Elephas maximus indicus: one gene and its partners. The protein of the gene in region 1 interacts with the protein of each later gene in a biochemical or structural test. Links are inferred from orthologs where the notes say so. Each region holds a gene or a part of one and is shown in the gene's direction. Other genes may lie near its edges.

What was found. The genes of interacting proteins can lie anywhere in the genome.
Region 2: the proteins of TBP (region 1) and GTF2E1 form a complex in vitro, tested with the Homo sapiens proteins (3 studies listed by BioGRID). The link is inferred for Elephas maximus indicus from reciprocal best matches to the Homo sapiens genes TBP and GTF2E1.
Region 3: the proteins of TBP (region 1) and AHR form a complex in vitro, tested with the Homo sapiens proteins (2 studies listed by BioGRID). The link is inferred for Elephas maximus indicus from reciprocal best matches to the Homo sapiens genes TBP and AHR.

What each region holds. Positions count from the first base shown.
Region 1 is NC_064819.1:243,766,637-243,775,105, forward strand, and holds the start of TBP (TATA-box-binding protein), read left to right. Parts: upstream 1-5,167; 5' UTR 5,168-5,266; intron 5,267-8,044; exon of another isoform or gene 8,045-8,049; 5' UTR 8,050-8,195; coding exon 8,196-8,249; intron 8,250-8,443; coding exon 8,444-8,469. UniProt on the Homo sapiens protein: The TFIID basal transcription factor complex plays a major role in the initiation of RNA polymerase II (Pol II)-dependent transcription.
Region 2 is NC_064819.1:11,349,738-11,358,163, forward strand, and holds the start of GTF2E1 (general transcription factor IIE subunit 1), read left to right. Parts: upstream 1-5,351; 5' UTR 5,352-5,510; intron 5,511-8,426. Other genes in the region: RABL3 (rab-like protein 3), read right to left, coding at 406-497, 5,178-5,223.
Region 3 is NC_064826.1:78,122,922-78,130,557, forward strand, and holds the start of AHR (aryl hydrocarbon receptor), read left to right. Parts: upstream 1-4,561; 5' UTR 4,562-5,224; coding exon 5,225-5,289; intron 5,290-7,636. UniProt on the Homo sapiens protein: Ligand-activated transcription factor that enables cells to adapt to changing conditions by sensing compounds from the environment, diet, microbiome and cellular metabolism, and which plays important roles in development, immunity and cancer.

The sequences.
Region 1 (8,469 bases):
TGGATACCCTATGGGGCAGTTCTACTCTACCTTGTAGGATCATAATCCACTTGATGGCAACATGTTTTGGTTTATCATTAATATCACATGCAAGTAAAATTATGCTGAAGATAATTCAAAAATGGTTGACAGGGAACTTCCAGAAATTCAAGCCAGATTCAGAAAAGGTCATGGAATGAAGGATGTCATAACTAATGTCAGATGGATCTTGGCTGAAAGCAGAGAATACCAGAAAGATGTTTACCTGTGTTGTATTGACTATGTAAAGACATTCGACTGTGTGGATCATAACAAATTATGGACAACAATGCAAAGAATGGTAATTCCAGAATGCTTAATTGTGCTCATGCAGAGCCTGTACATTCCAGAACCCTGTTGGTGGATTGACACAGTGGCTGCAATAATGGGCTCAAACATAGCAATAATTGTGAGGATGGCACAGGATTGGGTAGTATTTCCGTCTATTGCACAGACCGACTTGATGGCACCCAACAACAATTGGTGGGAGTATAAATTAGTACAGCCACTTTTAAAACAGATTGGCATCACGTACAATGGTTGAAGATGCACAACTCTTATGACCCAGCACCTCTGATCCTGTGGGAATTCCCTAACCAGAAGACATGAGTGAGAATGTTCACACCGTCGTTGTTGTTGCTAGGTGCCATTGAGTAGGTTCCAACTCATACCGACCCTACGTACCACAGAGCTAAACACTGCCCGGTCCTGCGCCATGCTCACAATCGTTATGCTTGAGCCCATAATTGCAGCCACTGTAATCAATTCATCTCATTGAGGGTCTCCCTCTTTTTCGCTGACCCTCTACCAAGCATGATGTTCTTCTCCAGGGGCTGATCCTTCCTGACAACATGTCCAAAGTATGTGAGACGCAGTCTCATCATCCTTGAGTCTAAGGAACTTTCTGGCTGTACTTCTTCCAAGACACATTTGTTCACTCTTTTGGCAGTCCATGGTATATTCGATATTCTTTACCAACACTGCAATTGAAAGGCGTCAATTATTTGGTCTTCCTTATTCACTGTCCAGCTTTTGCATGCATATGATGCAATTGAAAATACCATGGCTTGGGTCAGGCACACCTTAGTCTTCAATGTGACATCTTTGCTTTTCAACACTTTAAAGAGCTGTTTTTGAGCAGATTTGCCCAATGCACTGTGTCTTTTGATTTGTCAACTGCTGCTTCCATGGGTGTTGGTTGTGGCTTCAAGTAAAATGAAATCCTTGACATTTTCAACCTTTTCCCCATTTATCAGGATGTTGCTTATTGGTCCAGTTGTGAGGATTTTTGTTTTCTTTATGTTGAGGTGTAATCCATACTGAAGGCTTTAGTCTTTGATCTTCATCAGTAAGTGCTTCAAGTCCTCTTCACTTTCAGCAAGCAAAGTTGTGTTATCTGCATATCACAGGTTGTTAATGAGTCTTCCTCCAATCCTGATGCCTGGTTCCTCTTCACATAGTCCAGCTTCTGAGATTATTTGCTCAGCATACAGATTGAATAGGTATGGTGAAAGGACACAACCCCGATGCACACCTTTCCTGACTTTAAACCACACAATATCTCATTGTTCTGTTCAAACAACTGCCTTTCAATCTATGTACAGATTCCTCATGAGCACAATCAAGTGTTCTGGAATTCCCACTCTTCGCAATTTTATCCATAATTTGCTGTGATTCACACAGTTCAATGCCTTTGCATAGTCAATAAAACACAGGTAGACATCTTTCTGATACTCTCTGCTTTCAGCCAGAATCCATCTGACATCAGCAACGACATCCCTGGTTCCATGTCCTCTTCTGAAAAATCTGAACCTGGCTTGAATTTCTGGAAGTTCCCTGTCAATGTACTGCTACAGCCACTTTTAAATGATATTCAGCAAAATTTTACTTACATGTGATATTAATGATATTGTTCCATAATTTCCACATTCGGTTGGATCACCTTTCTTGGGAATAGGCATAAATATGGATCTCTTCCAGTCAGTTAGCCAGGTAGTTGTCTTCCAAATTTCTTAGTATAGATTCATGAGCACTCCAGTGCTGCATCTATTTGTTGAAACATCTGAATTGGTATTCTGTCAATTCCTGGAGCCTTGTTTTCTCCAATTCCTTTAGTACAGCTTGGACCTCTTCCTTCAGTAACATCAGTTCCTGATTATATGCTACCTCCAGAATGATTGAATATCAACGAATTCTTTTTGGTATAGTGACTATGCATATTCCTTCCATCTTCTTTTGATGCTTCCTGCATCATTTAATATTTTTCCTGTAGAATCCTTCAATACTGCAACTCGAGATTGGAATTTTTTCTTCAGATCTTTCAGCTTGAGAAATGCCAAGCCGGTTCTTCCCTTCTGGTTTTCTATCTCCAGGTCTTTGCACATGTCATTATAATACTTGACTTTGTGTTCTCAAGCACCGCTTTGAAATCTTCTGTTATACTTCATCATTTTTTCCATTTGCTTCAGCTACTTGATGTTCAAGAGCAAGTTTCAGAGTCTCTTCTGACATCCATTTGGTCTTTTCTTTCTTTTCTGTCTTTTTAGTGACACTCGCATTCTTCATGTGTGATGTCCTTGATGTCACTCCACAACTCATCTGGTCTTTGGTCATTAGTGTTCAAAGCATCAAGTTTATTCTTGAGATGGTCTCTATATTCAGGTGGGATATACTCAAGGCCCTACTTTGGCTCACATGGACTTGTTCTAATTTTCTTCAGCTTCAACTTAAACTTGCATATGAGCAAGTGATGGTGTGTTCCACAGTTGGCCCCTGGCCTCGTTCTGACTGATGATATTGAGCTTTTCCATTGTCTCTTTCCACAGATGTAGTTGATCTGATTCCTGTGTATTTCATCAGGCGATGTCCATTGTAGAGTTGTCATTTATGTTGTTGAAAAAAATATTTGCAATGAAGAAGTTGTTTCTGTTGCAAAATTCTATCATGGGATCTCCAGAGTCATTTCTATCATCAAGGGCATATTTTCCAACTATCGACTCTTCTTTGTTTTCAGCTTTCTCATTCCAATCGCCAGTAATTATCAATGCATCCTGGTTACATGTTTGATCAATTTCAGACTGCAGAAGTTAGTAAAAATCTTCAATTTCTTCATCTTTGGCCTTAGTGATTGGTGCATAAATTTGAACAATAATCGTATTAACTGGTCTTCCTTGTAGGCGTATGGATATTATCCTATCACTAACAGAATTGTACTTCAGGATAGATCTTGAAATATTCTTTTTGATGTTGAATGCAATGCCATTCCTCTTCAAGTTGTCATTCCCGGCATAGTCAACCACATGATTGTCTGGTTTAAAATAGCCAAAACCAGTCCATTTCAGCTCAGTAATGCCTAGGATTTTGATGTAGGTGGATTCCATTTAATTTTTGACGACTTCCAATTTTCCTAGATTCATCCTTTGTGCATTCCACATTCCAATTATTAATGAATGTTTCCGGCTGTTTCTTCTCATTTTGATTCATGCCACATCAGCAAGTGAAGGTCCGGAAAGCTTGACTCCATCCATGTCATTAAGGTCGACTCTACTTTGAGGAGGCAGCTCTTCCCCAGTCATCTTTTGAGTGCCTTCCAACCTGAGGGGCTCATCTTCTGGGAGTGTATCAGACAGTGTTCCACTGCTCTTCATAAGGTTTTCACTGGGTAATTTTTTTCAGCAGTAGATCGCCAGGTTCTTCCTAGTCTTATTCTGGAAGCTCAGCTGAAACCTGTCTGCTATGGGTGACCCTGCTGGCTTTTGAATACCGGTGACATAGCTTCTAGCATCACAGCAACACGCAAGCCCCCACAGTACGACAAACTGACAGACCCGTGTGGGCTACTAGACACAGATACAGGTAATTTTGGAATCAGAAAAGACTTTTAGAATGTACTTATTTAATTAAAACCTTCCCATATTAAAAAAATTTTATATTTTACTATAAACAAAGGATAAAAAGTCCATCAAAAACCTGTTGCTGTTGAGTCAGTTCCAACTCATAGCGATCCTATACGACAGAGAAGAACTGCCCCAGAGGGTTTCCAAGGAGTGGGTGGTGGATTCAAACTGCCTACATTTTGGTTAGCAGTCATAGATCTCTACCACCATGTCAGCACGGCTTCATAACAAAGGATAAATCAAATGATTTTATTGGTGGTTATGGACAGAGAAATACTATAGTTAGGACTCTCAAAATGCTAACACGTGCCAGGTACCGCGATGGTTTAGAAAAAAAAAAAAGATGCATTTCCTATCCTTAAGAAGCTTACACACTTATGATAATACAAAATATAAAGGAAGCACATAGGCAAGATCAATCAGCACAAGGTATGATTGTGACTAAACGAACGGTAGAAGGGAGAAAGCAAGGTAGGCTGGAGTCTGATCAAGCACCAGGAAGAAACAGGCTAAAAAACAACTACCAAAAGTCTCTTACTGACAAATATGAAAAGATTGCATAAGATGACATTGCCATCAAGTTGATTCTGACTCATAGTGACCCTATATGACAGAGTAGAACTGCCCCCATAGGGTTTCCTAGGGTGTAAATCTTTATGGGAGAAAGGCTGCCGTATCTTTCTCCTATGGAGTGTTTGGTGGGTTTGAACCCCCAACCTTTTGGCTAGCTGCCAAGCGCTTAACCACTGTATCATCAGAGCTCCTAAGATGAGAGTATCAGAACTAAAATTACAGTTGAATTTGTAAATAAGGGCTGTTTTTTCCTGTCATTCTATATGTTTAAGGAAGATCCTCTAACAACAGCGAGTGCTTGCCATGCCCCAGGTACTGCTCATGGATTGACTTAATTCGCCTCAAAACATCCGCACAGGTTAGACCTAGTAGCATCCCACTTTACGAAGAAGAAACCGAGGCAGAAAAGTCATGTAACTTGCTTAAGGTCACACAGCTAGCTAGTTGAAGAAAAAAAATCAACATTTAAAAATCAATGATTTTCCCACATCTGGCAATGACCAATCAGGAAAGTTCAGGTAAAGCGGCCCCGCCCCAGAATCCCCGAAGAGCTCTTGGTCCCAGGGCAACAAACGGAAGTGACGTAAGGCCCACAATTCCCATGGCCGCCGCTCCTGCCTGAGTAGCTCGTTGAAGCCGAGCGCAGAGCTGGCGGAAGTGACATCATCGGCGCGCGCGGAGTTCGGTAGTATCGGTCAGGGTAGCCGTGGCGGGCGCCTGGGCCGCCTGCGGCTGAGCTTGTTCCTGCGGGGCGATGGTGGTCACTGCAGGGACTCCAGGTAGTAGCCTTCCACGTCCCCGCTTTTCCTGTTCTCTGGGAGCTGTGGGTGCGGGATGCTGGGTCTCGCGCAGAGGCGGCGGCCACAGCGAACTGTCGGGCGATGGCGGACCGGGCGCGGAGGGACGCAGGCCCCGCGCGGATGCTGCCCCGGCTGCCGCCCCCCGAGCAGGCGTGACCGACGGCGGCTCCCAGTCGTGCGGGCCCGGGGCGCCTGGAGGGGCGCGGGGCGCCTGGAGGGCCCGGGGCGAAGAGCGAAGACCTGCCGTTTCCCGGTCTGCATCCGCCGCTCCTCGGGTGTAGGTTGCCGGGCCCTGAGCCGTTTGGCTACCGGTAGGGGTGGTTCCGTTAGGCAGTTGTGCTTGGGACATTCTAACGTTTGTCGGAGGCCCGAGACTTGCGATGTAAACGCACACTACTTTATTCACAAGGCCGACATCCCTGGGCTCAGGCCAGCGTGGTTTTCCAGTTTGAGACTTCGGGTAGGCTTCTCTCTGAAAAGAAGCCTCTTATACGTTATGCTTGATTGAGTTATGCAGACACGAGCAGGCTCCGCAGAACTATAATCGGTCTCTTCCCTCATCAGTGATTGCCTTCAAAAGCTATCGAATTTGATGCTTCCATTTCCACAAGATTAAGACGCTTCTCTAAATATAAGATAGTGCAGAGATAACGATGCCCTTATGATGACTGGGTGGGGAAGTGCCATCATGGGAGTGACATTTGCTCTGATGTTATGACATGAAGCCCCCAACCTATCTCCTTAGGTTTCTTCTTCAGACTTAGTTTGCCAAAAGGGGCCTGGAGCCACCAATATTATGGACAAATTTCTAGGTCGTCGTGTTTATGAATGCTTTAAATCCTACTCCCTTAACCTCTTGCCTCAACCACACCAACGAGCCCTTAAACTGAACTTCAGCCTTCAGTTTTGCTCCCAGGATTCACCCACACTTACCAGGGAGCCCTTCTAAACAGATCTGCCCAGGCTGCATTTTAGAATCCTGTAACCACTCTTATTGCCTGTATTGTAATGTCTAGAACTCTTGGCACTGTGGCCCTAACTATATTTGCTGTCACAGCTCCTGCAGCTGCTTTTCACTCAACCATACTCAGCTCTTGTTGCTGCATATTGCATGCTCTCTTGTCATGTCTTTGTGCCTGACCTTCCTTTTTCCTAAAATGCTGAGTTGTAAATTCTTATTCACCTTGCTAGACCCAAATCAGATGGTCCCTGCTTTGTGAAAACACTATCTCCAGAGTGACTGGCAGTTAGCCTGTCTTGTCTTGTCTTCCATAGTGTGCGTGCGTCCCCTTGTTGGCCTGCAATTACGCAGTGTGAATAGCGTGTGCATCCCCTCGTTCACCTGCGATTGTGCACTGAATGTACAGCATGTGCGCATCTCCTTGTTCACCTGGGATTGCACACTGAGTGTACAGTGCGTGCAAAGACAAAGATACTGATCTCTGCGCTCCGGGAGCTTAGCTGGTGTGTAGCTTCTGCTAGAGCACTTGATGCATTTTGCAGTGATCGTGTGTATGCCCTTTCAGTTGAACTCTTTGGTGCCTCTCCATCTTTATATCTGCAGTTCTTATGTTATTGCTATTATAGGATAACAATGTTGAGAAAATTCTATTTTTTTTTCTCTCTCTGATATATTTTTTAAAGGACGGTTTTTAAATTCTAACTTTATTAAGGTTTTGTTTGGTCTGTTTTTCAGTGATGAGTTGGTAGGATATGAGATCTTTTTTTCTTCTCAAAGAGATTGTTAGGTTCTTTCATTTGCTCCACAGACATCTGAGTGCCTGCTCTCAGGCAGGCTTAGGCTCAGAGTGCAGGTGGTTCTGGTTGTGTGACTCACGCCTTTGAGAGCTGTCAGTTCTGCGTCGGGTGTCTTATTAGATGGTGATGAGTATCTGAACTGAACTCTCGGAGGAACTACTAGCACTCATCCCTCAGTTCTGGAGGGTAACTGGATGCTGCTCTGGATGTGCTGATCCAGTCCAGCAGTCCTGTGTTAATTCACTTAGCTCCCATGGCAGCCCTGAGCAAGCTTCAGGTCCCTCTGAGCTGAACAGAACAGATCTTCCACCAGTCTTGGTTCTTTCCTCTAAGAGTGTGGCAAGTGTATAGCCAGTAAAGAGATGATAATTTTTTAGAAGCCAGATATAGGTACAGTTTACATCCTGCACTTACGTGTTCTTAAGGGGTAAGGTTATTATGTTTACAAGAAGACTATGTTTTATATATCTTTGTACAGCTTCTGTCACAGCCCTTATTCAAGTAGGAGCTCAATAATGATTACACTAAAATGTATTTATCCAACTCAGTATTTATGCCCAGGGCATTGGGGAAGATAAAACTGAGTGGAATACTTAAAAACCTGAATTTGGTCTGACAATGCTGTGTGTACCGTGCTTAGTAAATGATTGTGGACTGATACTACACTTTGCTCAGGAATTCATTTTCTCTGTTTTTTCCCTAAAAGTTTTTAACGGTTGTTATGACACCTTAATTTTGAACAACATCAGAGTATTAACCTAAAAATGTAACAAATCAATTCAATAAAGATTGATATAAAGCTTTTGGTAAGTTTGCAGTCACAGGAAACGTGGAAGGATTAGGCTCCAGGATTATAAGACAAAAAGAAATGTATTCCAAAATCACTTGGTTGGTTGATTGGTTGGTTTTTCTGTTATCTGCTTTTTTATAAGCATGATCCTGGCTTGTAGTACTATATAGCTCACCTGTGTTCTCACTCTAAACTTCACACTTTTTCAGAGTAGCATCACCTTGTTGGTGCGCGTGAAGATAATAACTCAGAGAGTGAAGGAAGTTCCTGAGAAGACTGTGCTGGTGATGCTCTCAGGAGAAGACTGAGTGCTGAGAGCAGGTCAGCACAGGTACTTCTGGTCCGCCAAGAAGTGACACCATGGATCAGAACAACAGCCTCCCGCCATATGCCCAGGGCCTGGCTTCCCCGCAGGTACCACAGCAAAGAGAGGGTGCATGGAAGGGGCAGGCTGTGAAGACCAGGGGCCCCTCCTTCACCCCCCTCACACACCAAGAGCCTGTTGGTACTGGAAGGGTCTCTGCACATTCTCACCTGCAGTTCCACCTGGGCGAGCCCCACAGACACCAAACACCAGCTAGCCTGACCCCCTTTCTCTGCTTCTGTAGGGTGCCATGACCCCTGGGATCCCAAT
Region 2 (8,426 bases), about 230 Mb from region 1:
GGTTCGAATCCACCAGCTGCTCCTTGGAAACCCTATGTATGGGGCAGTTCTACTCTATCTTATGGGGTCACTATGAGTTGGAATTGACTCCATGGCAACAGGGTTTGGTTTAATGTTATTACTTAGTCTTGTTTACAGTACTATAATTTGATCATACAATCTGAAGGCACTATCACCATCTTGGAAAACCTGGTGGTGTAGCAGGTAAGTGCTGAGGCTGCTAAACAAAAGGTCAGCAGTTCAAAACCACCAGGCATTCCTTGGACACTCTATGAGGCAGTTCTACTCTGTCCTCTAGGGTCGCTATGAGTCAGAACTGACTCCGTGGCAACAGATTTGGACTTTTTTGGTTTATCACCATCTTTAATATAACTATTGAAAAACCAAAACATAAAAGGCACATACTCTGACATCCACTGAGCAGCCCACAGTCCACGATGGATTTCCCAGCACTTGATTTTGGCATAAGAGATGAACTAGTGAAGATTTGCCAACACCTGTAAAAGATACAACACTCTATTCAGGTAAGTGTAAGAGGCATGCTTGAAATCTATTCTGGCATGAATAAGATAGGAAATGTGCAAAAATAATGAGACGTAAAGCATGGCTGTTAAAAGGGTGTTCAAACTGTATCAACAATACAATAAACCTTATGAACAAGGTGAAAAAGATGGTCGAGGGAAATGGTCCTCAAATTCAGCATGCAGCAGAATCACCTGGAGGGCTTGTGAAAACAGACCTTGCTGGTTCCCACCCGGGAAGTTTCTGATTCAGCAGGTCTGTGGTGGGGACCAAGATGCTGCACTTTTAACAAGTTCCCAGGTGATGCTGATGCTACTTGTTTAGAGGCTTCCTTTTGAAAACCAATGGTCAAGGGAAATTTCATGTAAACTAAACCATTCCTTTTGAATGATTTCACCTAATTAGCCTGTTTTAGAATTATAACATCTTAATAGATCTTAGAGGTAATCTCCATCCTGAATACCAATTTAGAGGTCCCTTTCACAGGTCTTAGATGGTTAGATGGTCTTCCAGACTGTTCTTGAGCACTGTCAATGACAGGGGTTCACCTTTCACGATTTCCTATTTAGACACTCCAGTTCTCTAATATAGTGATTTAAAAAAGTCAGCCAACCACTTGGTGGAGACAATTCTACTCCCTCTTTTACATTCTGGTCCTTTACCTTAGACAATATTTTATCTTCTTTCAGGCCTCCTGGGCTCAGGGGTTACTAAGGCTAACGGCAGCATTCTGACATTTGTATGATGAGAAAAGGGAATGAACTCTCTTCCTACACCTGTCGGTGGAGTCATTCATTTAAGAGCATCCTGGGAACGCCGCATGCCAAGCACAGCTGGTGAATCTTTATGCGTCACTAGTTGTACTGAAGAGTTAGATCACCTCTGATGTGCGCTATCAAGTATCGACCTTTTGCTTATGTTTATTTTTATAAAAAGTTATATTTACAAAAAAATCTAGAAGACACTTATGTCTTCTCGAAGACAAAAGCACCTGAAGACCACTACTGTGTAGGTTTATCTAATCCCATAACCAGGGTTTTTCTATAAACATGTTATTGTGGTCATACATACAGTGCGTACTTAAAACAACAGCATCGCATGAATGTAATTCCTGTCACTGAATTGTACGTGAAGACTGCTGAAATGTCAGATATTTTGTTACATGTATACTTACCACGATAATAAACAAAATAAAATAAAAACATTTTAAGACTTCGTTTACACAGCTTGTTCTGTCTGGAATATTCTACTCCCTGTCCCCATCGGCCTGGTGAATTAATCTTTCAAGACTCAGTATTATTGCAATTGTGGTCTTTTCTGACTCCACACAGGTAGAGCTGAGCACAACATCCTGAGTCTTCATTGTACCCTGTATGTTTTCCTACAGAGCACTTAAAACATATCATTTGTTTGTTTATAGGTTTTATTCACTCTGTTCAGTTTTAAGCTTTTTGGGGTTTGTGGCTGTTTTACTCATCTTTTTATCTCCAGTACTCAGAACAGGGTCTTAATTAGTATTTACTTAGTGACTACATTTTTCCATGTTATTACAAAATCTTTATAAACATTTTTTATGTCTCCATAGTATTTCAGAAAGTAGACATAATAATTTACTTAACTACTCCCTTATTATTAGACACTTAGGGTTGTTTGAACTTTTCACTATCCTCAGAAAATCTTTGCTGCTTAAACTTTTGTTTAAAATTAGATTTCTGCGTATATCTCCCCAGAAGTGAATTTAAGAGTAAAAGGAAATGAACATTTAAAGTTCTTGATGTATCCTGACAAACACTTTCCATCTGGTTGCTGCCACTAGCCACAGGAGGCTGCGTGTCTTGTTCCACCTCAGCAGTGTCACGTAGTTGCTTTTTCAACTCTGTTAATTTGATGAGAGAAAAAGAAGTGACATCTTGTTTTAGTCTGCATTTCTTTACGTTCCGGTAAAGATATGTTTTTGTTCATCTTTGCTAATCAGTGGTTTTTCCTCTTTAATGAATTATCTGCTGATGTGTTCTGCCCATTTATCTACTAGGTTTTAGTCTTCCTGCCAATTTGTATGATCTATATATATATTTTTTTATATATATTAGAGACATTATCTCTCATGTAAAGGAATCAAACATTTTCCCAGGTTTCCTTTTATCCTATTTATTTATTTATTTACATACAGACATTTAAGATTTTTGAGTACTCAAAAGCCTAGCTTTGCCTTTGTATTTACTGCATTACAACTGATATTCACAAACTTTATAGGGTATATTGTTCATATTGGAGCCACATATCTGGGCATTTAGTTATCAGCTCAATAAAAGGCTTGAGCTTCTAGTTTTTGCTTAATTGTGTCAGGGTAAATATTTCTCTGCAGCAATACCGTATAGCTCTCCATAAATTAACTGCTTTGGTGGGTAAATCTTAGTTAACACTAGATAAAACTCTAAATAGTAAGAACAGTTGAAGTGCTAGGAACAGTAGCCAACTATTTATTTCTTTAAAAAATTTGGAAGGTTCTGATTTGAACTAAAGTAGATCGAAAGAATGAACTAAACTTGCTGGCAAGAAAAAAAGAACCAAAAATAATTAAATAGATGCCAGCTCCAAATGTAGGTGTCATATATTAAAATCACCCTGAACCTCTGAAAGAAGAAAGAGAATACAGTATGTATGTGTTGGTGAGATTTTCAAGATACTTTACTAAATTATCAAATATCTCTATAGGGTACAAAGCAAGTCTCTAAATTCCAAGTCATTCCTTTATATGCTTGTGAAATCCTCAAAATTTTATGGGGGGAATAAGCCTTTATTCAAAAATAAACTTTGAAGTTTGAATACAAAGGCAGATAAAGTATAAATGGTATATTCTAACCTGTCAGATAGGAAACTGCAGTTAAAAGGGAACTGATGAAGGCAATAACTGACTCTGCACATGTAGTCTAACGTTAGTGAATGTGTGACAAGATTAAACACTTTCCTGGTGGGCAAGGCTGTGTCTTCTGTTTTTCAGCTAAACTATGACAGGGAAAAAAAAGCATACTAATTGCCTGGTTACTTTTCCACATTTTACACAGCATATAATCTACCCCTGTTAATGTATTTCATTGATTTCACAGTTAAAACTCTAGCACCTAATACAGTGCCTGGTATGTAGTTGGCACTTAAGTATTAAAAAAAAAAAAATCAACCTACTAGTTTCAACAGTATTTAACATGAAGGATTCTTTAGATGCAATAGAAAGAGAGAAATACAGACTACAGAGACAACACCGTTCTTCACACGTCATGCAGAACTGTTGCCAACAGCTCTGTATTGCAGTCCTAAATCCAATGTGGTGACACTCTTGCCAGGGCCCCTTCATGTCATTACCTTCTTCATCTGTGAAAATGAAGCCACTCTATTAAATTAACTTCAGTACTACTTCAAAGTTTCATGAAGAACTGGAGCTGACATAAATTGGTTTATTCTCATAGAATTTCCTACCGGAACTTTCTTAGGGGAGTATTGAATGCTCTCTGTAAAATATCTGACAATGCAAATAATCTTCAGGCAATGTGAAAACGTTTCCCCCACCTCCAAATCTATATAGAGTTTCTGTAAGACTAGTTTTCAAGCTCTTTGAGGTATGTCCTCTCTACCTCCAAGCATCTGGCAGTGTCTTTACTCACAGCACACACACAAAAGGTCAACTTCAGAAAAGCACATCTAGGAAACACAAGATAAGCATTTTTTCCAAGTTCTTAAGGAGTATGGGACTAGGAGTTGTGGTGAAGAAAAGCTGAGGTGGGGGACGGGATGCAGACTTCAATTTTAGTTCTCAAATGTCCAAGGTGTCAAAAGAATTTTAATATTAAGATTAAATCTGGGCTCACCACTAAGTCCTAGCTACATCAAAATGTGGCCTTTATCTTAATTTCTCTATTATTCACAACCTAGCACACAGGAGGGATCAGCCCCCGCAGAAGGACATCATACTTGGTAGAGGGTCAGCAAAATAGAGGAAGACCCTCAATTAGAGGGATTGACAAGGTGGCTGCAACAATGGGTTCAAGCTTAACAACGATTGTGAAGATGGCACAGGACCGGGCAGTGTTTCTTTCTATTGTGCATAGGGTCGCTATGAGTCGGAGCAGACTCGACGGCACCTAACGACAACAGCACACAATAGGTTTTCAATTAAGAAAAAACTAGAACAAGAAATCAAGAAGCCTCGTTGAGAGTAAAACAGGAGGGCCACCGTATATTTCATTTCATAATATAGCTTGGCGTTCAATCCAGTTTGCCGTTTACATCTCTCTGCCTTACTTTCCTATCTGTAAAATGGACTAATAGGGCTGTTCTCAGGATTAAATCAGTTAATATATGCAAAGCGCTTGGAATAGGGTTCTGAGTACCTTGAGGTCATGCTTGTACTAATTTCCGTACAATACTCAAGATCTGGTATCTTTCAAAACAAAAGAATCGATAATACGCTCTAAACTAGCGTACCCCGGGAGACAGTCAAACGGAGCAAAGTCCTCTGGGAAATGTAGTCTTTAGGCTTTGAGAACTACTTCATCCACGGGCCGAAGAGCCAGGAAGTTGGGGGGTTAACAGTGAAGAGGGACGGTTATCAGATAACTCAAAAGTGTCGGGAGCCCCAGAGATGGGTCTGAACCACTCACCTGAGTCCCCCAACACCAGCACCTTCACCCGATCTAGGGAAGCCATCTTGCCACTGCCTTCCGTTGGTTAACGCCTCTTCCGGGACTCTAGGCCAATCAGAGCTAAGCATGGAAGGCAGAGCCTTCAAATTTCATTGGCCAGTCAGAGCGTGACCGTCCTGATTGAAGGTTTCACTGTGCTGATTGGCCGGCCTGGGTAAATGCAGCATGCGAGCTCCAAAGCTGGTCGCAGGAATAATGCGTGTTCGTCGTCGCGCAGGTGGCGTGCTCCTTTAAGCCGGTAGTTGAGGCGCTGAGGGAAGCTGTAGTAGGATTGTTCGAGGATTCTCTTCGGTAAACCTCGTTCCCAGTTCCTTGTTCCCGGTTCCCTGGCCCGCCGTGGCATTTCAGGCTTTCTCCTCCTTTCCATTCCTCCTGTCTTAACTATCCTCTTTTCCTTTGCTTCTCTCCTGATTTGGTCCTCTTCTTGGTCCGCCAAAGAACCATTGACCCTGGAGTGGCCCGGGTGCGAGCTCGGGTATGGCTGCGCCGAGTTATGTCCACTGGACTCAACTGGGAGAGTGTTTGGGAGTTTGGGGTCCTGGGGTCTCACAGTGGGAAGGAGCAGGCGTTACTGAACGGGTCGCTAGGAGGGCAGCTGGGCCCGGAGGTTTCGCTGCAATATGCCTGTTTACATATGGAGGGCGCGGAGAGTGCGGTGAAATATGGCAACAGAGAAAATCGCAGCTAGATGTGTAGAACCCCAGTTCTTCTAGAACTGGAATGAATAGCAGTATACTGAGATAGTCTAACAGAACTCTCGCATCCTCCCCTTTTTCCTTCCCTCCACCCTCTAGTCAATGTAATCTTTTAAAATGCGAACTTGATCTGTCACTCCTGCTTAAAACCATTTTAAGTTTAACAAGAGGGTAGGCGGTAGCCTGTTCTTTTCCATTGTGGAAACAGGAGTGGGAAAAGTGAATTGGGAAGCTGACAGGGTGGGCATGTTGGAAGAACACGTGCCTAGGAGATCTAATGAAAGTTTTATGGAAGTACTTCACTAGCTGTGCTGGGTGCTGGGGATTCAATGATAAAACAGTGCCTGCTCTCAGTTTACTGATTTGGGGATTGGGAGAGATAGACATAGAGAAAGTACAAGACTGTCGAGTGCAGCTAAGTAGAAGGGGGAGAGAGGTATGGGAACGTGTGAAAGGGGATCATCCTAACTTAACCATGGGGAATTTGGGAAGGCCTCTCTGAGGAAATGTTATTTGAGACTTGAAGGAGTAAAAGAAAGAGGTTTGGGTTTAGCTTTGGGGGCAGAGGGAACTGCTTGTGAAAAGGCCCTGAAGTGGAGAAAGCATGCGTGGCTCATGAAATTGAGAAGATACCAGTTTGGCTGGAGATGAGGCTGACAAGGACAGGGCAGAAAGTGCATATCTTTCAACTTTGTTTCTCCAGCTCTGTGCCTGGTACTCAACTATTTGTATGATTGGAATAAACCAAAAAAACCAAACCAGTTACCATTGAGTTGATTCCAACTCATGGCAACCCCATGTGTGTAGGACTAGAACTGTACTTCACAGGGTTTTCCAATGCTTGGTTTTTTTTTTTTTTTTTTTTTTTAATTACCAGGCCTTTCTTCTGAGGTACCTCTGGGTGGACTTGAACCTCCAATCATTTGGTTAGCACCTGAGTGCGTTACTGTTTGCACCACCCAGGGACTCCATGATTGGAATGCTGTTGTTAGGTGCCCTCGAGTCGATTTCAACTCATAGTAACCCCGTGTGACAGAGTAAAACTGCCACTTAGGGTTTCCCAGGCTGTAATCTTTATAGGAGCAGATTGCCAGGTCTTTCTCTCATGGAGTCTGAATGGGTTCACACTTCCAGCCTTCGAGTAGCTGAACGCTTAACCATCGTGCCACCAGAAACACATGGAATACAGAAAACAAAACCAAATTGCCCTTGGGTGTCTGGGGTAGTTATAGCTAGGGAGACAGGTGAGGCTGGAAGTGACTGATGGACTACGAGGACGAAGAGAAAAAACAAGCTGACTCTGAGAGGTCCCACACTCAAAAGTCTCTAGAGGCCAGCCAAGCCCCTTCCCTGTCTGAAAGTATCAACTGGTATTTAGCTGGTCGCTGTGAGTCGAAATCGATTTGACAGTGGTGGATTTGGTTTTTGGGTTTTGTTTCCTTGTGATAATGTGGTCTCTTTTTTTTTCCTCAGGTATTTTAAAGAGGGGCTGAAAGTAAAAACTTATGTGAAATCTCATAATTTTAAAATGTTGATTACTGTAATTCAGAATTTTTTTTCAAAACATTCGTTGGGTCAAATAATGTATGTGGGCTGCCAGCTTGAGGTCTCTGATCTAAGCTGTTGCCCTTGAGTTGATTCTGACTCATAACGACCGGATAGGACAGAGTGGAACTGCTCCATAGGGTTTCCAAGGAGTGTCTAGTGGCTTCAAACTGCTGACCTTTTGGTTAGTAGCCTTAGCTCTTAAACCACTACGCTACCAGAGATGGTAGAAGACTCTGCAGAAGTGGGGAAGTGGAAGTGATGGAGGAAAGAAGGCAGAATTTGTTGGGAAGGAGGATTTCAGAATGCAGAGATTTTGAGTACAGTGGCCCAGCCTGGCTTCTTTCCTGAGCTCTAGTTTCATTTGTTCAGCTATCTGCTAGACATCCTCACAGGAATATCTGGTGGTATTTCCTCAGAGACAGCATTTAAAATGAAGGCTTCATCCGTTCCAGACCTGCTCCTCTTCAGACGTTACTTATATCTCATGGTAGTACTTCTCTCTTCCTTTTTGCACTGGCTCAAAACAGCTATTTTTAGCTTTTCCTCCTCTAATATCCAATTTCCAATATATTGTTAGGTTCTTTTGACTTTATTTCCCTAATAGATTTCATTTATCCTGTCCTTTTCTTGCAGTTTTGTGTTCTTCCTTAGTTTGGGTTTGGTTACTGTAGCTCATAATTCTGCCAGAGTGCCTGCACCTTCCCTCACTTCAGTCAAGTCCTCATGTTGCTGCAAGAGTCTCTTTTCTACATAGGGAGTCTTATTAATGAATGCTGGAGTCCCAGGGTGGTGCAGATGGTTAAGACGCTCAGCTGCTAATTGAAAGGTTGGAGGTTCAAGTCTACCCAGAGGCAGCTTGGAAGAAAGGCCTGGCAATCTACTTCCAAAAAATCATCCATTGATAACCCTGTAGAGCACAGTTCTGCTCTGACACACATTGGGTTGCCATGAGTCCAAATCAACT
Region 3 (7,636 bases), on another chromosome or scaffold:
TGCAACTGCTTTTGAATGATCTTCAGCAAAATTTTACTTGCGTGTGATATAAACAATATTGTTTGATGATTTCTGCATTCTGTTGGATCACCTTTCTGTGGAATGGGCACAAATATGAATCACTTCTAGTTGGTTGGCCAGGTAGCTGTCTTCCAAATTTCTTGGCATACAAGAGTGAGCATCTCCAGCGCTGCATCCCTTTGTTGAAACATCTCAATTGGCGTTGTGCCAATTCATGGAGCTTAGTTTTTTGCCAGTGCCTTCAGTGCAGCTTGAACTTCTTCCTTCAATACCACTGGTTCTTGTTCATATGCTACCTCCTTAAACAGTTGAACGACTACCAATACTTTTTGGTACAATGACTGTGTGTATTCCTTCCATCTGCTTTTGATGATTCCTGCATTGTTCAATATTTTGCACATAGAATCCTTCAAAATTGCAATTTAAGGTTTGAATTTTTTCTTCAGTTCTTTCAGCTTGAGAAATGACAAGAATGTTCATCCCTTTTGGTTTTCTAACTCCAAGTCTTTGCACATTTTATAATATTTTACTTTGTCTTTTTGAGCTGCCCTTTGACATCTTCTCCTCAGCTCTTTTACTTCACTGTTTCTTCCATCCACTTTAGCTACTCTATGTTCAAGAGCAAGTTCAAGAGTCTCTTCTGACATCCATTTTGGTCTTTTCTTTCTTTCCTGTCTTTTTTATGACCTTTTGCTTTTTTCATGCAGGATGTCCTTGATGTCATCTCACAACTTGTCTGGTGTTTGGTCATTAGTGTTCAATGCATCAAGTCTATTCTTGAGATGGTCTCTATATTCAGGTGGGATAAACTCAAAGTCATACTCTGGCTCTCATAGACTTGTTTTAGTTTTTTTCGAGTTCAACTTGAACTTGCATATGAGCAATAGATGGCCTATTCCACAGTCGGCCCCTGGCTTTGTTCTGACAGATGATATTGAGCTTTTCCATCATTTCTTTCCACAGATGTAGTCAATATGATTCCTGTGTTTTCCATCTGGTGAAGTTCATGTGTAAAGTAGCCATTTATGTTGCTGAAAAAATATATTTGCAATCAAGAAGTCATTGGTCTTGCAAAATTCTATCATGGGATCTCCAGTGTCACTTCTATTACCATAGCCATATTTTCCAACTACTGACCCTCCTTTGTTTCCAACTTTTGCATTTCAATTTCCAGTAGTTATCAATGCATCTTGATTGCATGTTTGATCAATTTCAGTCTGCAGAAGTTGGTAAAAATCTTCAATTTCCATCTTTGGCATTAGCGGTTGGTGGGTAAATTTGAATAATAGTCGTATTAACTGGTCTCCCTTGTAGGCGTGTGGATATTATCCTATCACTGACAGCATTTTACTTCAGGATAGATCTTGAAATGTTCTCTTTAATGACGACTGTGATGGTATTCCTCTTTGTCATTCCTGGCATAGTAGACCATATGATTATCTGATTCAAAATGGCCAATACCATTCATTTCAGCTCACTAACGTCTAGGATTGCAATGTTATGTGTCCCATTTCATTTCTGACGACTTCCAGTTTTACTAGATTCATACTCCACACATTCCACATTTGGATTATTAATGGATGTTTACAGCTGTTTCTTCTGAGTCATGCCATTTCAGCAAATGAAGGTCCCAAAAGCTTGTCTCCACTCACATCATGAAGGTCGATTCTACTTTGAGGCGGCAGCTCTTCCTCAGTCATATTTTGAGTGCCTACCAACCTGAGGGGCTCATCTTCTGGCACTATATCAAACAATGTTCTGCTGCTATTCATATGGTTTTCACTGCTCAATTTTTTTCAGAAGCAGACTGCCAGGTCCTTCTTCCCAGTCTGTCTTAGTCTGGAAGCTCCACCGAAACCTGTCCACCAAGGGTGACCCTGCTGGTATTTGAAATACCGGTAGGAAAGCTTCCAGTATCACCATAACATTCAAGCCACCACAATACAACAAACTGACAGATGCATCAGTTTCTTTAGTGAGGTCAAATATGCCTATTAGACCACAGAACCATATATTTCTCCATCACAATATTTATGACAGTATGTCCTAATTCATTGAGAGCATAATTCATTTTTCTTAGTCACTTAGTTATCTAGTGCTGCTATACCACAATTGGATGGCTTTAACAAACAGAAGTCTATTTTTTCACAGTAAAGTAGGCTAAAAGTCCAAATTCAGGGTGTCAGCTCCAGGGGAAGGCTTTCTCTCTCTGTCAGCCTTCTCATCAATGTTCCCCCAGACTAGAAGCTTCTTTGCGCAGGGACCCCAGATCCAAAGGACGTGCTCTGCTCCCAGCACCTCCTTCTTGGTGGTATGAAGTCCCCCTGTCTCTCTGCTTGCTTCTTTATTTTATATCTCAAGAGATTGCCTCAAGACAAAATCCAATCTTGTAGGTTGAGTCCTGCTTCACTAACACAACTGCCACCCGTGCTCCCTCATTAACATCATAGAGGCAGGATTTACAACATATAGGAAAATCACAATTGGGTCCAGCCCAATCGATACACACATTTTTGGGGGGGAAATAATTCAATCTAAAGGAGAGACAGTCACCCATTGTCTCTCCTTTACTAGCACAATTCCTGGCACATAGTGAAAAGGAAAAAAAAATTTTTTTTTCTTTTCACAATTCCTGGCACATAGTAGGTACCCCAAAAATATCTGCTGAATAAATTAATGTATGATAATCAGCCAAGGAATCCTGAATGATGTGGCATTTAAGCTGGGCTCTGTCAATTTGGTATTATTGGAGAATAAGGTGGAGGGAGATGATAAGGGACATTGTGAAGAACAAACTTTAACTGTATCTGTTGAAAGATTTAGATATAGGTGGTAAGGGAGTTGAAGATGATTCCTAAGTTGATCTGAAGAATGTATCTGGAAACTGGTTGAACCGCAACAGGGTGAGATTTCAATTAAAGAAAATGATGAGTTCAATTTTTTGTTGCACTGAATTTGGGATAAGCTTACCAGGTGGGAATGGCTTGAAGGCATTTTGAAATGTAGAAGTGGATCTGATGTGAGGCAGCATCTAGGCATTTTAATCTGGATGTCCTTCTGCTCCTGACAAGCGAACAACTCCTTTGTCTGTGTTCACTGTCTTAGTTAACTGCACCCACAGAAACAGTCAGAAATCTTGAGGCCACCCTAGATTGTTTTCTCTCTCCCCTAGTGTCTTAACCACTTCTACCATCATCTATATTTTCTCTCTTCTCTCCATTGCCACAGCTGCTTCCCTGGTTCATTTCAACAACTTTCTAACTACTCTCCCCAAATCCAGTCTTTGATAAACTGTTTATCAAGTCTTTATGATTTGATCCCAAACTTCCTGAACTTCACCTTCAGCTGCTTTTCCTTGTTCCGACATACCAAAAGCAACCAAACCAAACCCGTTGCCTACATGTCGATTCTGACTCATGGCAAACGCATGTGTTTCAAAGTAGAACTGCTCAATAGGGTTTTCTTGGCTATGAGTCAGAATCAACTTGATGGTAACAAGCTTCTTTTTGTTTTTTAATTTTTTACAGTAGCAGTTCACCAGGCCTTTCTTCAGTAGAGCAGCTGGGTGAGTTGGAACTGCCAACCTTTAGGTTAGCAGCCAACTGTGATCTGCTTGAGCTTCCCAAGCACCTTCTAATCATACCAGACACCTTCTATTCTTAAACACCTCCTGTCCTAAGTGCTTCCCTTCTTCCTAGCTTCCTTCTTTCCACTAAGGGATAACAAAGTTTTACTGAGGAAAGGACATTATACTGCCTAGCCTGAGAGACAAATTAAAAAATAAAAAAGTCCAAGGAAACTCTTAGCCTCTAAGTCCCAACTTAAATGTGGCCTCCTGAAGCTTTCCCCTCTGGGAAAATTTAGATAGTCCTATTGGGTTATCTCTTCTAGTTTACTGAAATTCTTAGCCCAAAGTTAGCTGTCTTTCCATAAATGAAGTTTACTATTTGGCATATTTAATCTTGAGACCATGACTGCCCGAAGAAGGAACAACTCTTCCTTTGAAGAGGTACAGCCAGAATTCTCCTTAGAAGCAAAGATAACCAAGACTTCTTTCATGTACTTTGGACATGTAATCAGGAGGGACCAGTCCCTGGAGAAAGACATCATGCTTGGTAGAGGGTGAGCAAAAAGACAAAGACCCTCAACCAGACAGACTGAAGTGGCTGCAAAAATGGACTCAAACATAGCGAGGGTCATGAGAATGGCACAGGATTGGGTAGTGTTGCATTCTACTGTAGGCAGGGTCCCTATGCGTCAGAATCCACTCAAGGGCACATAACAACAATAATTCTTGAGACAGTCTAGCTACAAACAGTTTGACTACACCTTATTTGTTCTCACACCTCTTCCTGCGCTGGAGAGATGTATCCACAAAGGAATACTCCCTTTGACCTCACGAAGATGGCTACTGGAGAGCATCGTTACGTTCTACGTCATCACGTGCTGGGAGGAGGGTGGAGCCCTCAAGGGAGACGGAGTGAAGGGGCGGGTCCAAAAGGATGGGGCGGGGCTCTTCTGGGCGGGGCGGGCCCGTCAGGGGTCGGGGGCGATTCTGCTATTCGGCCGGCGCGTTCGGCGGCGGGAGGCAGTTCAGGGAGAGTCTACTCAAAGCTCGTCCCGAGAGTTTACCTAGGAACGAGGCCCAGATTTGAGGCAGCCGCATAGCCGAGCGGAAGCGGGTTGCACCCAGGACTGGCGGCCGGCTCCCGAGCTCCGCGGGCGGGAAGCACCTAGGAGCGGGGAAGCCCCGGGAGCAGCGCGGCGGCGCCTCCCTCACCCAGGGGGCCGCCGCGCCGGTCACGGGGCGCCGCACCACCGAGCGCAACCCAGGCCGGCGCTCCAACCTGCCGGCTCAGGCTCCTCCTCCGTCTGCCGCCTCACCTGCAGGCAGCGCCGCGCCGCCTCCGCCGGTGTAGACGGCACCTGCGTCCCCTCGCTAGCAGGTCTCCGCCGCTCTGCCCCCGGCGCCAAACACGGGCGCCCCCGGCCACGGGTTGTCTGGACGGGCCGGGGCTGCGGGAGGCGAGGCGCAGGGGGCGCAGCGCCCTCGCCACCGCGCAGGGGAGGACGCAGGTGGAGCGGGCGCGGCTTCACGGAACCCGGCGCCGGCCGCCTGGCAGCCCGCCCGCCCGCCGGCCTGCCTGCCATCGTCCCGGCCGCCGCCGGGCCCCAGGGACCGGGCCGCCTCACACCGGGCACCATGAACAGCAGCAGCGCCAACATCACCTACGCCAGTCGCAAGCGGCGGAAACCGGTGCAGAAAACGTGAGTGTCCGGAGCGGCGTCCTCGGTGCGGGGACTGGGTGCCGGTGCACGCGGGTGCGGGTCCTACCGTGGTGGCGGGAGGCGGCCCCACCACGCCCCTCAGTCCCCGCGTTCGGGGAGATTAGGTCTATTCCCGACACAGCCCATGGAATCAAGATTTGGTTGGTCGAGAGACCGAGGGCTTGGATTTTTTCTGTATTACACTTGAAGGATCCCCCCTACCCACCCTGTCACCAGCGCACACGCACCCACTTACACTCCCACACCTTTGCAGCTCTTGTTCTCTTTTCTGTGGTCCCAATTTGTTGACAGTTTTGGCCAGCCCCTTGGTGCTGGCGTATTAGCTAACATTAGTCTGTCTTGGAATACCCTTAGACTTTTAATATCCACATCAGTTAGCTTAGAGGACTGTCATAATTCTCGGAGGAGACTGAGAGCTTGGTAGGATGAAAAGTTTTGAAAGAGGCAAGCACGTGCGGTTTTGAAGAAAGGGGCTGAGTGTTTCTGAAGGCATTTTTTTGAGCTAGAGCAACTGGTGTTCTGTTGCACTCTTACGTCCAACGTGTCTAGATCGGTAGTGTAAAGGAATAGTAGCAGGTGTGAGTGAGTGTAGTGGACAGATACAGTGGGGGATTTGTAGTCTCAGTAATCTTTTGAGGAAACTTTCTCATTTTTGTGGTGGCTTGGGGCTCTATAAAAGATTTGAAACTAGATTTATCGAGGGAGACGTTTTCTTGGCATCTTCCTCTAATTTCCTTTCTTCCCTACTTCAAAGTTTTGTCAATTCTAGCAGAGTGATTCCAAATTTGGAGTTTTTGTTTAGGTGGAATATTTGTATGAGATGGCAAATACTTTAGAACAGTTTTTTTCCAGGAAAGAAAAATGTATGCTTGAGACAGATTTCCTGTTGTGATTTGTATGTCTTCATGTGTTTACTCCTAATTATTATCTCTGAGTTCCTTGAAATCACCTACATCTTTCAAATTTTCCTAGACAGTTTTAAAGACATATTAAAAATCTATTCAGCGAATCAGAGCACATTTGTTTAAAACTTGACTTAAGAACCAAAATAAATAAATAAATAACACTTCTAGGGTTTATATTTAAAAAGTTGTTGGTTGGAAAGTTTCATTAATTTATAGACTTTTAATTTCCATTCAGATTTCAGCGATGATTTAAAAAATAACCCAGTGCCGTCGTGTCGATTCCGACTCATAGCGACTCTATAGGACAGAGTAGAACTGCTCCATAGGGTTTCCAAGGAGCGCTTGGCGGATTCGAACTGGCGACCCTTTGGTTAACAGCGGTAGCACTTAACCACTACGCCACCCAGCGATGATAGTTCCTCAAATCTAGATGTATAAATTGGCATTCAGAGGATATTAGACCATTTTGTAAATACTCTTTGTTTAAAATTTTGAAAGTGTTACCTATAGTGTGTCTCATTTTAAGAATATTGCCTAGTCAGCACTTTTCTGTCTTGGGAGCTCTGCAGCATTGTTACAATATTTGACATTTTGTAGAATGGTTTCTTCTATAAAAATGTATTTGTTTAATTTGATGTTGTCCTTGATAGTTAAAATTGGGAGGCACCCAGAATGCCTGTTCTCCATAGCTGCTAATACAGTAGCATGCTGAGCATTGTATATAATAAAGGCATCGTGAGTTTTATTTGTGTGATCTGAAAAGGTGACAGCCTCACTGTTGGGTTTTTAAGATATTGAGCTTCAGTCAGTGTGTTACCCAGGGACCTAGGTAACTTTTTTTCCCCTCCTACTTTTAATTAAATGCTTTAGTTTGTGTTCATTATAAAATGTAATGTTTTTGGTTTCTAGTTAATGTTTTGTTAATGATCTTTTCTTTTAGTGTGTTAAATTTTCCTTTTACTTACGTAAAATGTACCTTTTATTGTAGTATTTTAATATTTTAGTCTACTTCCTAAGGCTTTAATATACATTATTGAATTAGTTCTCATATTACAATGTAACTAAAGCATTTTTCTCATATACCCTCATTTTATATTATCAGGTGGTGTAGATGTTTATCATGCCTTTACTGAGTACCGTGCATTGCTTCTGATTGTATAAATGCCTTATAGTGACACCAAATTGCTCTATAAGAAAAGACTAGCGCTGGTGTTTAAATAGTAAAATGAAATTGTTTATAAAACATTTTTACCAGAATAAAAAATGGTTAACTCAGTTAAAGTGAATATTGACCTTATGAATGAGGTCATTAAACCTAATATTAAGTTTAATACGAGTTTTTTAGTTAAATTACTACTTTGTGGATAATGGGCCTTGAAACATGCCAACATATTCACAGGAGAAATTCATCTTGTTTGATC